2 linked regions of the Tamandua tetradactyla genome follow. The protein of the gene in region 1 interacts with the protein of each later gene in a pairwise test. Links are inferred from orthologs where the notes say so. Each region holds a gene or a part of one and is shown in the gene's direction. Other genes may lie near its edges.

What was found.
Region 2: the proteins of DTX2 (region 1) and STX12 interact in binary tests that used the Homo sapiens proteins (3 or more experiments, as listed by UniProt). The two-hybrid records come from large-scale screens. The link is inferred for Tamandua tetradactyla from reciprocal best matches to the Homo sapiens genes DTX2 and STX12.

Annotation. Positions count from the first base shown.
Region 1 is NC_135349.1:10,302,229-10,310,209, reverse strand, and holds the start of DTX2 (putative E3 ubiquitin-protein ligase DTX2), read left to right. Parts: upstream 1-4,903; 5' UTR 4,904-4,904; coding exon 4,905-5,063; intron 5,064-5,075; exon of another isoform or gene 5,076-5,167; intron 5,168-6,138; exon of another isoform or gene 6,139-6,247; coding exon 6,248-6,305; intron 6,306-7,759; exon of another isoform or gene 7,760-7,833; coding exon of another isoform or gene 7,834-7,852; intron 7,853-7,981. UniProt on the Homo sapiens protein: Regulator of Notch signaling, a signaling pathway involved in cell-cell communications that regulates a broad spectrum of cell-fate determinations.
Region 2 is NC_135328.1:198,555,013-198,562,305, reverse strand, and holds the start of STX12 (syntaxin-12), read left to right. Parts: upstream 1-4,206; 5' UTR 4,207-4,359; coding exon 4,360-4,477; intron 4,478-7,293. UniProt on the Homo sapiens protein: SNARE promoting fusion of transport vesicles with target membranes. Together with SNARE STX6, promotes movement of vesicles from endosomes to the cell membrane, and may therefore function in the endocytic recycling pathway.

The DNA of each region.
Region 1 (7,981 bases):
GTGTGCCCTGAAGTGGGGATGTGGGGCTTTCTGAAAGTGGAATGTCACTCAGAGACATTAAAGAGGTGGCAACTTCTTCCAATACAGGTGTCGGGGTCAACGGGGAAAAGCACAACTCCCACAGGCTCTGACATCTTACCCCCAAACAGACAGCACAAGGTCAGCTTCACTGGTGGGGGTTGGTTCCCTGTGGCCAGGGGCCTTAATCGATGGCTGATACTGGGAGATGTGCTACCTGCACCATCCCTCTCTGTGTACCCCCAAGTGGAGGAACCCCCTGCTTCCCCACCAGGGACAGATATGCCACCAGGCTGGGGGGCAGGGTGTCAGCAAACACTCTCCAGTGAGTGTTACGTGTGCTTGGGACAACAGGGGAAGCAGCCCCTGTATCTACTGGGAGATTGTTTCATCCAGCCAGGCTGACACACCTGGCCCCTGGCAGAGGATGTATTTGTGGGTCCCAGTTCCCTACCACGTGGTGGCGGCGGAGCAAAACCTCAAAAGGCCAGAAAGGAGATGACAGCTGGGCAAAATGGGTAAAGAGAGAAGGAGGATCTGTGACACTGGGGGGTGGGGGTGGAGAAGAGAGGGCCTCAATCTCTTGTAAGGGATGGGGTTTGGGTTGCTTGAGGGTAAACCAAAGGCTCCGAGTAGGTGAGGCTGGGAGGAATCAGGAAGGGGCCCTAGGCCCCCTGGGGTCCAGCCTCCTGGCTCCTACCTGGTGCAAGCTCAGCAGGTCGCCCCATCTGCAAAATGGGGCCGACAGGACTGCTTAAGGGTAAAAGGAGGAACGCCCTGGTAGCAGCAGGATCCTGGTAAAGAGCTCCAGGCAGCCTTCAAAGCCCGCCCAGCCGAACCTGCTTCCTCAAGGAGATGCCTCTCCTTCACATCCACCTCCCTGCAGACAGGAGAGTCATTTCTGGCGGGATTGGAGAGAGGAATAAACGAGACTCGGCCTGAACGAGCTATTTGGTCTGAGGCATGTGGCCAGTTGGAGCTGTTCTATAAGCTAATGCTGACCCCAGGACACCCTGTGTCCGTCCCTGCATCCAACACCCATCCGTTACTTGGCTTCAAGTTCCTGTATGTTGCGACATCCTGGGAACTCATCTGTCAACTTCTGCTGTCCTCTGCAGAAAGCGGAAGCGGCTATGCGTGGCGTGGGGAGGAAGTGAGTCTAGGACGTGACCCTGTCAGCTCCGGCCGATTCCAGATGGGCCTCAGCTCAGCGCGGGAGCTGGTCCCAGTGCAGCTGGGCGGCCGCACAGGGGCGTCTGCCTGGCTCCCTGCCTCCCGGTGGGGCTCTGCGGCTGAGGGTTGGCGTCACCTCTGTCTACTCACAGCCTCTCTCCAAAGGGTTTGGAGCAGCTTCCTAGGCTAGCCCGGGCAACTGTTGGGGAATCAGCACTTTTAAAGTCGATTTTGTGCTTCCTGGTAGCCAGGAAAAGAAAGGAGGTGAGGTGTGTTAAAGGAAATAATAATAAGAAGAAAGTAAAATTATGACTTTCATACAAATATAAAATGAAAATCAAAGTTTTTGTTTAACTTATGAATTGAGGCACGTAAAAAACTGGTTTAAAGGTGACTCCAAAGAAAAGCACATCTAGAGGCCATATCAGGCACAGCAGGAGGGCTGAATGCTGAACCGAATTTGCTGATAGATGCAAAAATAGCCTCTTCCGCAGCACGGAAATCAATTGCATCTCTATGGACACGAGTCATTTGCATTGCTCTCAGTTTTCTCCAGCACACTGAGTTGTAAAATAGCTCCGTGGAAGACAATGAAATCAGCACCCAGGAGTCTTTTTGTCCATTTCAAAGCCTTTTGCAATTTCCCCGGCCAGGTGATAGATTGATTAGATTTCTTTAGCTGTGGATTCTAAGCAGCTCCTAAGGACTAATGGAAGCTTTGGGGAGAAGAGTTTGGGTATCATCAGAAAAGTAGCACTGGCCTCCCAAATGGTCTTGCCTGCCTTGTGTACACACCACAGCAGAGCCTCGTTCTGAGGCAACTCCTCAATCCCCAGCCAGGATGCTGGAGTGTTAATTTATGGGGTGAACAATAACTGGTGGGTGGGGACAGGGTAGAGTGTGGTTGCCTAATGCTAAAACCAACTTCTCGGTTGAATTGACCTTGAGCACATGGCGGTTACTTCGGGCTGACAGCTAGGCAACGAGCAAGAACGTGTCCCCAGGGGCCGGGACTTACATAAAACAAGGCTTTTAGGGAAGACCACGTCACTCCTCAGGGCTATAAAGCCACCTCGCCTTTGTTGGCTGTGTGTGTCACACCTGGGCCCACGGCCCGGAGATGCCAGGTGCTGTCCATTAATCAGAAATAATGAGCCAGGCAGCCGTGGCTTCTAATCAGATACAATCCCTCTCTCCAGAGTGTCAGATGGAGGCCAATTAGCCGAGGCACCGAGTGACAAAATTCCGCCTTTCCAAGCAAAACAGCAGAAAATGCTCAAGCCCCTTAGCGATGCTGCGCCCTGGGGTCTCACCTTTTCTCAGGTTTGTGTTGATTTTTTTTTCTTGATCCCGGGAGATTGAGCCGGGGGTCCTAGGAAGGCAGACAACTCTGCCACTTGGAGTGAAGCTTGAGCTGTTGTGTGTCGTTTTGTTTGTTGTTTAAATCTCGGCCTCTAGCCCCCACCACTCCCCATTCCGTGGCCAAAAGCTCCATCCTTTCTGGGGCCACGTAGTTCATTCTCAGTTGCTTGAGGGCACATGCAGGCCTGCAGGTGGCTCACACCTGAGCCTTTGGGTCCACTTCCGGGCAGACAATTTAGGAAGAAGAGCCCCAGCCAGGAACATTTCTGCTCACTTACCCATTGCTGCTCGCTTTTCTGCAAGGCATCCCTAACCATTCTTATTATGTTCGATGGCAAGCTCAACATTTTCTAATAGAAAAAAAAAAAATAGCGTGAGTACACAGTAAATTAAAAAAACAAAAATAAGTCCTCAGGCTATCCCCAACTTCTCCTGGGGGTTTTTTTAGGTCTGCTTACAGAAACTTCTAGGCCTACAAGCTTGTGCATGACTTTTTGTTTTTTTTTTTAAATACAAGTAGATGCCCATTCTACTCTACCCACACTTCTGAAAGTTCCTTTTTTTTAACTTAACAATGGATCTGGGTGGCCAGTCCCCCAACAGGGCACTGGCAAGTCTTCTTCATTCTTTCTAAGAGTTACCTACTGTTCCAGAGCTATTTAACCAGCCCGTCCTGCTGGGCATTTAAGTTGTTTTTGGTCTTTTGCAATGTTCATTGGCTTAAAGTTCGGTTCTCAAGTTTCCCAGTTCCGAGGGACTTCCTGCTGCCACCTCAAAACCTAATGCACTCAGCATTCACCTGGCCAAAAAATGAAAGTCCACATCTGTCTCCCGTTCTCCCTTTTGCTGCTGCCCTATTTTGCTTCTTTTTGCAACCAGAACTCTCTATTTGTTCCTCAATAAAAATAGTTTTTCTTTTCAGGTTATAAAAACGGAGCCCATTCATTGCGACACACTTACTTGACACAGAAAAAAAAAAACAAAGCAAAAATCACCTGCCGTCTGCCTCTCGGATGTGACAGGGTTGCATATGTCCTTCCAGGTCCCCTCTGCACACACAGCACTATGGAAAACCTTATGTAAACCGCACGTGTGCCGGTCATTTGTGACCCCACCACACATTCTCCACAATACACTGTGAATACAAGGATTTGTCTTGGAAGAGCCATCTACCCTCCTAGATTCCATTCCTAAACTTCACAACCCACAGACATCTAGCTCCTTGAGCTCCTCCTTCTCGATGGAAAGGGTTCTTTGGCTGCTGATAGCCTCCCTGTAATTAAATCCGAAGTTTGGGATCTTTCTTTCTTTTTTTTTTTTTAATTAATTAAAAAAAGAATTAACAAAACAATTAGAAATCATTCCAATCTACATGTACAATCAGTAATTCTTAATAACATCACATAGTTGCATATTCATCATTTCTTAGTACATTTGCATCGATTTAGAAAAAGAAATAAAAAGACAACAGAATAAGAATTAAAACAATAATAGAAAGAAAAGAAAAAAAAAAGAGATGGGATCTTTCTTGAAGTCAGGTGGCGGAGATGGGAAGAAAACTGGGCTGGGAGGTAGGAGCCCTGAGTTTTGTCTGGCACACAGAACTAATTCCATAGAGACACTCCCCCTGGCTTCCTTTAAATCCACAGCTCCTGGTCCAGCAGCGCCCCGGCTTCCTTCCCCAAGCCCTCCAGCTCCTTCCCTGATCTTCAAAAGTCAGCATTCCTCAGCCTTGCCCTGGATGTACCTTTTATCACCCTCTACATCTCACATTGCCTGGGACTCAAGAAATCCTTATCTGCAGAACAGGTCTCTCCTAAGCTCCACACCTGGCTCTCCCCAGACCCCAGACTTGATTCCCCAGAGCTGCTTCTTTTCTTGTGTTCTCTATCTCCTGCCCCTCTCCACCAAGACATCCATGTAAGTTCTACTTCCTGCCTCAGTGGAAGTTGGGGAGCTTCTCGGTCTCCCCAGCCAGAACCGGAGGGTCCTACCAAGCCTCCCCCAGAGTTCCAGCTCCCTCAGATCTCTGGGTTTGGAAGTCCCTCCTCTTCCCAGAACCTGGTTCCAGAACTCTTCCAGCCCAGAGTCTCCCAGGAGGGAAACAAAGTTTCTGGTACAATTTTTAATCCCCAGTATCCAGCAGATGTCCTGGAATCATGCAGTACCGCGAAAAAATTTAAAGATGAGACGGTGAATTAATGAAGGAGTGAGGCAACGAGCGAACAGGCGAAAGAACAGATACACCTGAACAGGTGAGGCTTGGGCTCAGTCCCGCCCCACCCCCGGAAGCCCCGCCCCCCGGCTGCCCTGCCGGAACTACATTTCCCAAAAGGCTGCGCGTCCCGGGCATGCGCACCGGAGCGCTCGGAAGCTACGACGCCGAGTTTCAGTCTGGCTACCGCCTCCTTGGAGTCGGAGTCACAGCCCGAGCTCTACCCCAGCTGAGCCGGAGCTGCCGTCCTAGCGTAGCGGCGCTCTCAGCCCGCCCTCCGCCCGCCTCAGCCTCGGTGAGAGGGGAGGGCAGGCCGCTTACTCGTCGCCGGGGCTGGAGGAGACCGAGCCGAGGCCGGAAGAGGGGCGGGCGTGGGACTGAGGGAGGGCTGGGCCGGGGGTGAGTCCGTGGGGACTGAGAGGATTGTCTTCCGGGCCTGGGGTCCTGGAGGTGGAAGTGGGGGAATTGGGAGGTGCTGGGTGGGAGGGTGGGCTCCTGGGTGGAAGCCGAGCTAGCAGGGGAGCGGGAAGCTTGGGTCGGTCGGGAGTCGTGGATCCCTTTTCCCCCGGGACCTCGAAGAGTTGGTGGCGGTCTTGCCCCCGGGCGACCTGGTTAGGGTGTGGGTGCTGCTGGGGCCTCCCACCAGGGGAGGGAGTACCTGGGGCCCGGAGCTGCGCTTTGGAGGAGTTTGCCTCCTGGTTCTGTTTTCCTCAAGTGAGGTCCGCTTTCTGGGAAGCTTCTGTTTTGCTGGGGCCCCGGGTCACTTTTGGGTGGTGCCTAATGTATGCTTGAAGAGGATTTAAAAGACTTCCTTTCTCGGGAGCGCCCCTTTCATCTGCCTTTCCCAGTCAGCTCCTGTCCTCCACGGTGGTTCCACTTCCCTTAGTGCTAACAGCAGTGGAATTAGGGCGTGTATAACAGACGCCTGGACCCTTGAGAAAGGCATGCTATCCTAGCCTCTCTAAAAGGTAGTTCTAGAAGGTAAGAATTCCTGGTAGCCAAAGTCAGGGTAGCTAGAGCTCTTGTTCAGTTTGCTGTGTGACCTTGGCCAGACTTTTCCCCTCGGTGCCGTGTGGGTGTTTTAGATACCTACCCTGCCGAGTGGCTTATGAAGTCCTTTTAGGCCTTACTATGAAATGTCTCAGGAATGAAGTTGTGTGCGTGTGTTTTGTTTGTTTTTAACTACCCCCTTGACTGTTGGAAGGAGAGAGCCTATTGTACCTTCTGCTCCGTCCAGGCTGATTGGGAAATAAATTTGGTGGTTTCCAGCCCTCCAGCTGCAGCACATGTCTCCAACATCTGTGAATCTGATTTCACTAACTGCTGTTTCTCAATTTTAAACCTGATCATCTTCTTCCTTGTTGGCAAAGGTGCCTTGGAATTTGTGTTGCTGAGTCAGCAAGCCTTTCAGATTTGCCCAGTTTTTGTTGTTTACATTTTGTATCAAGATGGGAACTCAAACAAGTCATTCCTCTTAAGGATCTGGTGACTCCATCAAGAAGGGACAGTTTGTGCCAGCTCTCCAGCAGAAAAAAAGGTGAGAGCCACGGGGACTCTACTTTGTTGCCTTCCCAATCTGGTTTTCAGTAGAGAAGGTGGGGTCTGGGGAAGGTGGAATGAGGTCTCCATCATTGGAGAGAGAGTGCTGGAAATTGATTGTTGATTAGCAACTGTCTCAAATAAATTAAAGTGGCTTTTTGCCAGCAGCTTCTTCTGGTTAACCAGTCTTAGAAATGCTTTCCACACGGTTTCCACTTTAAGACGTGCCTTTTAGGATAAAGGTCACAAGTCATGATTTCTGCTTTCACACTGGAAGTTTTATTTCTTTTGTCACATTAACCTTTACTGGGTGCCTCCTTTGTGTCAGGCTTGTGCGCAGTGCTGGGGAGACAGTGATAGGAGTACAGATCTCTGCTTTCTGGGAGCTCATTGTTTGGTGGACACGACAGACAAACAGCAGTTAGTGATAAGGTGTTGCAAGTGTGATACACGTGGGGTGTGGTGGGAGGGATTCTCTGTAGCGGGTGAGAGTGGAGTTGTTGAAGGGGGAGGAGGATTTAGAAGGGATGGGTTAGTAGCCTGGTAGAAGATTCAGCAAATGCAAAATCATGAAGCAACACGGTGTGTATGGGCTGCTGTAAGTAGTTCAGTGTGGCTGGAGCAGCAACAGGAAGGTGTAGGGTAGAGGAAGCTGGCGAGGTAGCAGAGGGATAATGTGGATGGTTTGTGGCCATTCAAGGCACTGGGGAGCTGAAGGATTTTGAACAGAAGAATTCCACAAGGAGTGTTTTTTGTTTTATTTTTTTTTAATTTTTAATTTTTTTTTACATGGGCAGGCACCGGGAATTGAACCTGGGTCCTCGGGCATGGCAGGCAAGCACTCTTACCTGCTGAGCCACTGTGGCCCGCCCACAAGGAGTGTTTTTGAAGCGACATCACCTGAAAATTAATAGAATGGGTTAGACTGGATTATTCTCTTAGCTTTTAAGCTGCCTGATTCATTTCTCCATATTTCCCCCTGTCTTATTGACTGTCTCTTTATGCCATGTCAGCTTTTGGTAGAAGGGAGAGAGGCGTCAGGGCCCTCAGGTTCTTGTGGTCCAATTGAAGAGAGAAAATGGACATAGAGAACTAGGTTTACTTTCTGTTGTGCCCAGCAAGGAGAGAACTAGGTTTACTTTCTGTTGTGCCCAGCAAGGAAGTGCTGTTTAATTGGGCCTTGAAAGAATGGGTGAGTTGAGAATGGGTGGTCAAGTGAGGGGAATTCTGGGTAGAGCAGAGGCGTGGGTGTGGGGAAACACCAGGTGTATATGAGGGATGGCAAATTATAACTTAAACTGTCTTAGAGAGACTGGAGAGGAGGAGGTGTGGATGAATGAGGGTTCTGAAAGGAAGCGCACTGGAAAGTGCTGTGGGCAGGGAGGGAGGGACCAGATTGTGATGGGCTTTGAATGTCATCCTAAGGACTTCGAACTTTATTCTGGTGCCCAGGGATAGTGTGGAAGACACTGGTACCTGGGGTAGACCAGAAGGAGAGATGGGAGTTGGAGAAGCCAGTCAGGCGGATGGGAAGTACTTATCAAGGTGAGAGCTGGGATGGTTCCAACCAGATGCTACAGTGGGGGTGGAGGGGAGGATGCCGGGGGGGACGGTCTGAGGGGAGGAAAGAGGCTGAAACTGGGCTATGGGGAGAAGGTTGAGGAGGAACAGGAA
Region 2 (7,293 bases), on another chromosome or scaffold:
AATAAAATTAAATAAAAATGAAAAAAAATAGTGTGGCATAAATACAGACAAATAGATCAAAGGAACAGAATTGAAATTCCAGAATAAGAGCCACACATCTATGGCCAATTGATTTTTTTTTTTTTTTTTGCATGGGCAGAAACCAGGAATTGAACCCGGGTCTCTGGCATGGCAGGTGAGAACGCTGCCTTCTGAGCCACTGTGGCCCACCCTACGGGCAATTGATTTTGACAAGAGTGCTAATTACATGCAATGGGGAAACATTAGTCTTTAACAAATGATGTTGAGAAAACTAGATATCCACATGCAGAAAATGAAGTTAGACCCCTCTCTCACACCATATAATTAAAAAAATCAACTCAAAATGGATCAGGAACCTAAATATAAAAGCTAAAGCTGTAAAATTCTTAGAAGGTAACATAGCAAATTTTCATGACCTGGGATTCACTGATAGATTTTAGATATGACACCAAAAGCATGAGCAACAAAAGAAATAATAGATAAATTTAATGTTATCAAATTTAAAACTTTTCTGTACACAGGAAGTTATCAAGAAAATAGAAAGACAACTCACAGAATGGGAGCAAATAGTTTCAATCCACATATTGGATAAGGGCTTAATATCCAGAATATATAAAGAACTTTTATAATGCTACAACAAAAAGACAAACAACTCACTTACAAAAATGGGCAAAGGACTTGAATAGACATTTCTCCAAAGATATACAAATGTCCAATAAATACATGAAAGGATGCTTAACATCAACAGACATTAGGGAAATGTAAATCAAAACCATGAGATACCACGTTACACTTATAGGAATGGCTATTATTTAAAGAAATGGAAAATAAGTGTTGGAGAGAATGCAGAGAAATCGAAACTCTAGTGCATTGTTGGTGAGAATGTAAAGTGGTGCACCCACTGTGGAAAGCAGAATAAAGTTTCCTCAAACAGTTAAATATAAAATTATATTTTATTGGCCACTGTAAGTGGCAATTCCACTTCTAGTTATATACTCAAAGAGAGTGAAGGCAGGAGTCTCAAGGAGATACTTGTACATCAGTGTTTATAGCAGCATTATTCACAATAGCCAAAAGTTGGAAAAAACCCCCGAGTCCTTCAACAAATGAAAGGATAAACAAAATGTATTACACATATGCAATGGAATATTATTTGGCCGTAAGAATGAAGTTTTGAGACATGCTGCAACAGAGGATAATCTTAAAAACATTTTGCTCCGTGCCTGCTCATGTAAAAAAAATATATATGTTTTTGCTCCATAAAATAAGCATTGTCCATAAGGACAAAAATTATACGATATTATTTGTGGGCGATGACTAGGTATAGCAAATTTGCAGCCATAGAAATCACATTAGAGGTTAACAGCAGATGAAGGGTGGGAGGAAGACAAAGTGTTTGGTTGTAGAAATAAATAATAAAATTTAAAAATATGCTAGAGTGTTATGCACTTTCTATTGGTAATCTTGATTTTTAAAAAAAATGCTGCCTAATTTTAAAAGAATATTTCTATGAACATTCCTGTACCTGTTTTTTGAGTGCATATGTATACACATCTGTTGGGTATATATAGTTAGGAGTAGAATTATTCAGTTGTAGGATATGTATGAATCCTGGCTTTGCTGTATGACCTTGGGCAAGGACCCACAACCTCTTGAGAACAGTCTCCTTACTGTACCAAGTAGCTAATCTCACCTTGATGGGAAAACTGCTTTTGTTAATGAACAAAGGAGCAAAGTACTGAGAAACTTATCCTTTAAAATAATAGATTTTCAGAAAATATGCTGATTGAAATATATTAGTAGAAGTGGAACATTTCACTCTACTCTGGAGGATCTGAGTTACTTTGACACTGAATAGCAATTTCCATTTTCCAACCCAGGTGCAGAGCTTCAGATAAGGGGTTTCCATATACAACATTCGTCATTTATCGTCACATTGTGGTTTCCAGGGAGACAGGATCCTGAATCTCCTGGTTAGTCGGACCTGATGTTAATCTCTTTGCATATAACCTGGTGTGCTTTGAGGCTGTCAAAACATCACTTCTTTTAAATTTTACCTTCACTCCATCTTTTCCCTAAGACCTAGAATAACTCTATCAAGATGCCTGAAGATTCCTCTTGGGTAAAGTCTTCCTTGTAACAGCAAGTTAGTATGCCTAACTTTGTTAGAGCACAGGTAGTCTTTTTTTAAGGTGGGCTTTATCTTGGGGATTACCAGTAATGTGCGCAGAACGTGTGTACACTGCTTAACACCTGATTAGGCATTTATGAAATGGTAAGGTTAGTTTTTATTATTCATTTATGAGTTCAATAAATGTTTATTTGGCATCTAGTATTTGCAAAGCAAAAGTTCACTGCTATAGAGCTGCACAGATGGAAAACCACTTTTATTTTAGACGGAGGAAGAAAATAACAGCAACAACTATATCTTCAATTCCTAGGAGATAAGTAGCTGTACTGAATTTCACTATAAGTAGTGTCAAAACATCCTCAAGACAGTTTTTTGGGTAAAAAGTACAATATGCATGATTTATTACAAGTTTTGACATAAAACTATGGATTCTAAGAACAGTAGTTTTAAAAACCAGTATGAGAACCCCCAGTATCACTGTCTCCTATACAGAAAGAGATGCTGGAAAAAAAAAAAAAAGGAGATAGACTTGTTTACAAAAGCTCTAAGGCTGAATGCAGGCTTATTCACCCATTTGGGGACCCCTCCCAAGATGTAAACAGGCAAACAGCTTCCTCTCTTTGCCGTTTTCCAGAGACTGTAAGGCATGCTTGGGGGTGGAGGGTGGGGGAGTGAAGAACACAGGAAAAAATGCCTATTTCCCTTCACTTCTCTCTATCTTGATCTCCTCCCAAACCCAAATCCTACTGCTGTCTTTCCCTTCATCGTTTGCTCACACAATGCAGCCTTCTGTAGGAATATTGAGGCTGCATACTCCAAATTACTTAAGGAAATGACTTTAAATTTTGGGAGTCTATTTCCCCAAGAAATCCCGGTTTGGAATACATGAAGAGGCTACTTGGGAGGGATTAGATGGAGAATGAATTTGGGAATACGGGGTTGAATTTTAGGGAAATAGAGAGATGATGACGGAGTCAACATAGTGTATGAGTTTTGTAGTCAAATCTCATTAAAGCGAATTAACCTCTATGGCCTTATTTTTTCCTCGTCTGTAAAACGGAAAAAAATAAAGCTTACTTTGCAGAGTTACTTCAGCTTTAAAAAATTGACCGTCTATTATTTATTCAAAATAATTTTTTTCTTTGAATGAGGATTTACAAATTTATATATTCTTTCCTATGGAAAAAAAACACACAAAAAATGAACAAGTAAGCAGGTAAGGAAGAACTTTTAGATGAAAGCCTGACAAGATCTAGGAAAATGGAGGACAGTACTGTCTGCCTACTTACAAAAAGCAAATGAATGCTCAGTGCTTTTCAGAGATTTCAAGCAGGAGATATTACACTTAACTGATATCCCCTAATCTACAGCACTCAAATGGCAAACCAAATCCTTCAGTAGCCAAGAATACCAAGATGACTGGAATATTCAAATGCAACGTATCCAGTTCTTCAAAATGGTCCATGGTGCAATGCTTATATCAGACCTCCAGAGAAACAGTGTCTTTTGTTGCAAGTTTCCCAGCAAGTTCTATATGGATAGAACATCGATCCTTACTGTGAAAGAGCTTGTAAACAAGTGAATTTAGGATTCACACAACACTAGGTGCTCAAAAATATTAAGACAAAACAAAATAAATAAATAAAATTAAAAAAAATATTTAAAATTAGAAAAGGGGTGGAGGGAGAAATGAAACTGGTTGTAGGCTCCGCAAATACTACTAGAGCCCCTAAAGGATGGAAATAGAGAAAGGAATTTCAGGAGTTTGGTTTAGGATATGAGTTTAAGGTTAAGGATATGAGTTTCGAGGTTGTCAAATTCTCCTAGACTCGGGCCTGACTTCTCAGAATAGATCAGAATGGGAAGTAATGGCTGAGATCATCTGGTATAATTTTATGCAAATAGTAAATTCTTGCCTCCTGTCACTGTGCCCCGCCACTGACGTACCCAATTTGAGTCCCAATTATGTGACATCATCGCCCCGCCCCGCATCCCCAAACCTCTGTGTGTCGGGTCTCTAAGCTACAGCCCCAGGCACTCTTCCAGCGACGCATGCGCACTGCGTGAGGGCGGGGGCTAATGCGCGCGCAGCCTCAGCTCTTTCCCTGCCCTTCTCTTCCCGGTTTCCCGGTCGGCCTGCGGGTCCAGTCTGACGGCTGCTTCCGGTCGGAGCTCAGTGCCCGGCCCGCGGGTGTCAACTCCTCGTCATGTCCTACGGCCCTTTAGACATGTACCGGAACCCGGGGCCCTCGGGGCCCCAGCTCCGGGACTTCAACAGCATCATCCAGACGTGCAGCGGCAACATCCAGCGGATCAGCCAAGCCAGTGAGCCGGAGGGACCGGGCTGGGGGGCGGGCGCCGTCCCGGGGACAGGCCTGGATGAGGCCGCCGGGACGCGGAGCCTGGTTCGGGCTTCAGCGAAGGCCACGCCTGAGGCCGTCAGGCTCTCCACTCTTGGGGCGTTGAGCTGCCATCCCCTAGTATGTCAGGTCCTGGCTCCTGGAGGGTTCCGAACCCCAGCTGAAGCTCGAGGTTCTTTTCAGGAGTTCAGCTATTACGGTTTTGGGGCCGAAACTGCAGACTTGACAGCCGGAGGCTGAGGGGATGCCACCTCGAGAGCAGTGTGGTGTTGGCTTGGCATTAGTAGTCAGCCGAGTTTTTCCTGTCACCCGTCTTCCACCCACCCTCATCCCTTCCCTCTTTGGCCAGTTTGGATAGGGGGTTGTTTACTGATTTAGGCTTTACATTGACATTCTTCTCGGCCTCTGATTCCTCCTAAATTAGCAGTTTTCAGTGAAAGGAAGTACGGAGTGCGTGTATTTGGATGACTTTATAAACAGTTCTTTCTGTAATGAATATGGGAACCAGATACAATGACTGTGTTTTAGGTATGGGATGACTTCTGTTTTAATAAAGAGAATTCATTGAAAACATCTCAGTTTACATTATTTTGTCTTTTGTGTAGCAAAGGATTTATGTATGTTTTTGGATTACAAGTGGGATGAGACTTTAGTTTCCTTCCATATTGAGCTACTCTTTCCAACAATTCTGATGCACGGAGAGGCTCAGGGATCTGACCACAATCACACACTAAGACCTGGTAGAGTTGGTGGCAGAATTCAGAATGTCCCCAAATCCCCTCCCCACCATCAGTGGCTAGTGAGACTAGCATAAGTCTGAATTCAGAGCCTTGTAAACAGGTGGTGAGCAGCAGCAACTTTACTTGGAAAGAATGGTGATTATCATCATTGTTGTTTAGTATTGTGTATTTGTGAGTTTTGCTATGTGCTGTTAATAGAACTACTGGGTCCTGAATTCAATTATGTCCTGTATTTTAAAGGATAAACTGTCACTTTGCTTTTAAATTTAAATGTGTAATGAAAATTTGAGAGGCAGAAAGTTTCTGATGGGAAGGAATTGAGATTGAGTGATGTGGAAGTAGAGAAACGTGTATGGTCCGTTAAATCCAGAAATAAAAATAAATTAACATGACCAGTGGATAGAAAGGATACTACTTTGTGCTTCAGTTTCCTTTTGTGAGGGAGATGAAATACTGGTTAGATCAGAAAATTCTGGTTGAAGGCTGAAAGCTTCTTGTTGAGGTTAAATCTAATTTTTGTGTTTGTTTGTTTGTGAAGTATTCATTCAAGATGTTATTTGTTTACCTGGATATGGAGTAAGTATAGGAACTGGCACAGATTCTTTTGTCAGCAGGCCTTTGAAATACATAAATAACCTGAATATAAATAAAGTCAAAAGGGATCAGTGCTATAGAAGACACACATATGACATTATCTGGGTATTCAGGGAAGAGAGGGGACATTTCCATTTGGGGAGGTATCAGAGAAAGATTATAGTATTCTAGCTAAATCTAGAAAGATGATGATAGAAAGAAATTGGACTTTTGAAGGTAAAGAGGAGAAGAGCATTCCAGGAGGAGAGAATAAAATGAGCAGTCTCGGTAGTAGAAAAGCATGGGGTGTATATGGGAAAGTAGAGTAATTCGGTTTGGCTAGAGTGATGGATTCAGGAAAACAGTAGAAAATAGGGTTGGGAAGGTAAGTTGGCACCACACATGAAGGGCTTTAAGTGTTGGGCCAAGGGGCTTAGAATTAATTATTTAGGAATGTGTAAATTAAATTGGAAGGAAGAGAGACTGGACTCAGCTATCAGGGACTGTGAGAACGAAAAGGAAGGAAAGGATAGGAGAGGTTTGCTTGGAGATAGAACTAATAAGACTTAGCTGTTGATTTGATATTGGGCCCAAGGGGATCATTGAAGTCAACTACTAATAGCATTAATAGCTAACATTTATTGAGTACATACTGTGTGCCAGGCAGTATGAAAAGTGCTTTCCATGCATTGTCTTAATTAAATTTATGACAATCCTGTGCAGTAGGTACCGATATTGTTTTCATTTTATGGAAATGGGCTGAGAGTAGTTAAATACTGCTCAGCTAATATATGGCAAGCCAAATTGGAATAGGTCTGTCTCTTGTGAACATCAGCCTTTTTATAATTTTTAAAATCAATTATTACAGTTCTGTAGTGGTTAACACGTCAACTATACAGGTGACTTGTTTTTTCACCCCATAGAGGAAACTATGGGGAATACCTGAACCTGTGACGCTCTCTTCCTTCTCTTCTTGAGGTGTGGTCTGTCTCCCCTGCTAGATTGTTAGCTCCTTTGAGGTAGGGGACATGACTTCTCATCTTTGTATTTCTAGAATTTATCTTAGTCCCAAGCATATAGTAGATTGGAGCATTCATGTAGCAAGCGTTCTTTGAGCATCTACTATATGCCAAGCATTGTTCTAGGTGCCTGGGCAAGAGGATGAAAAGGACAGTCAAAACCCCTGCTCTGATAGAGTGTGTGTATGGACATACATATATATAGGCAAAATGATATCAATAATAAATTGTATTAGTTAGGGTTCTCTAGAGAAACAGAATCAACAGGGAATGCCTGCAAATAAAAAATTTATAAAAGTGTCTCACTTGACTGCAGGAACGCAGAGTCCGAAATCCGCAGGGCAGGCTGTGAAGCCTAGGACTCCAATGGAGGCTTGCCAGCCAAAGCAGGAAGAGAACCTGTCTCTTCTGAATCCTCCTTAAAAGGTTTCTGGTGATTAGATTAAGCA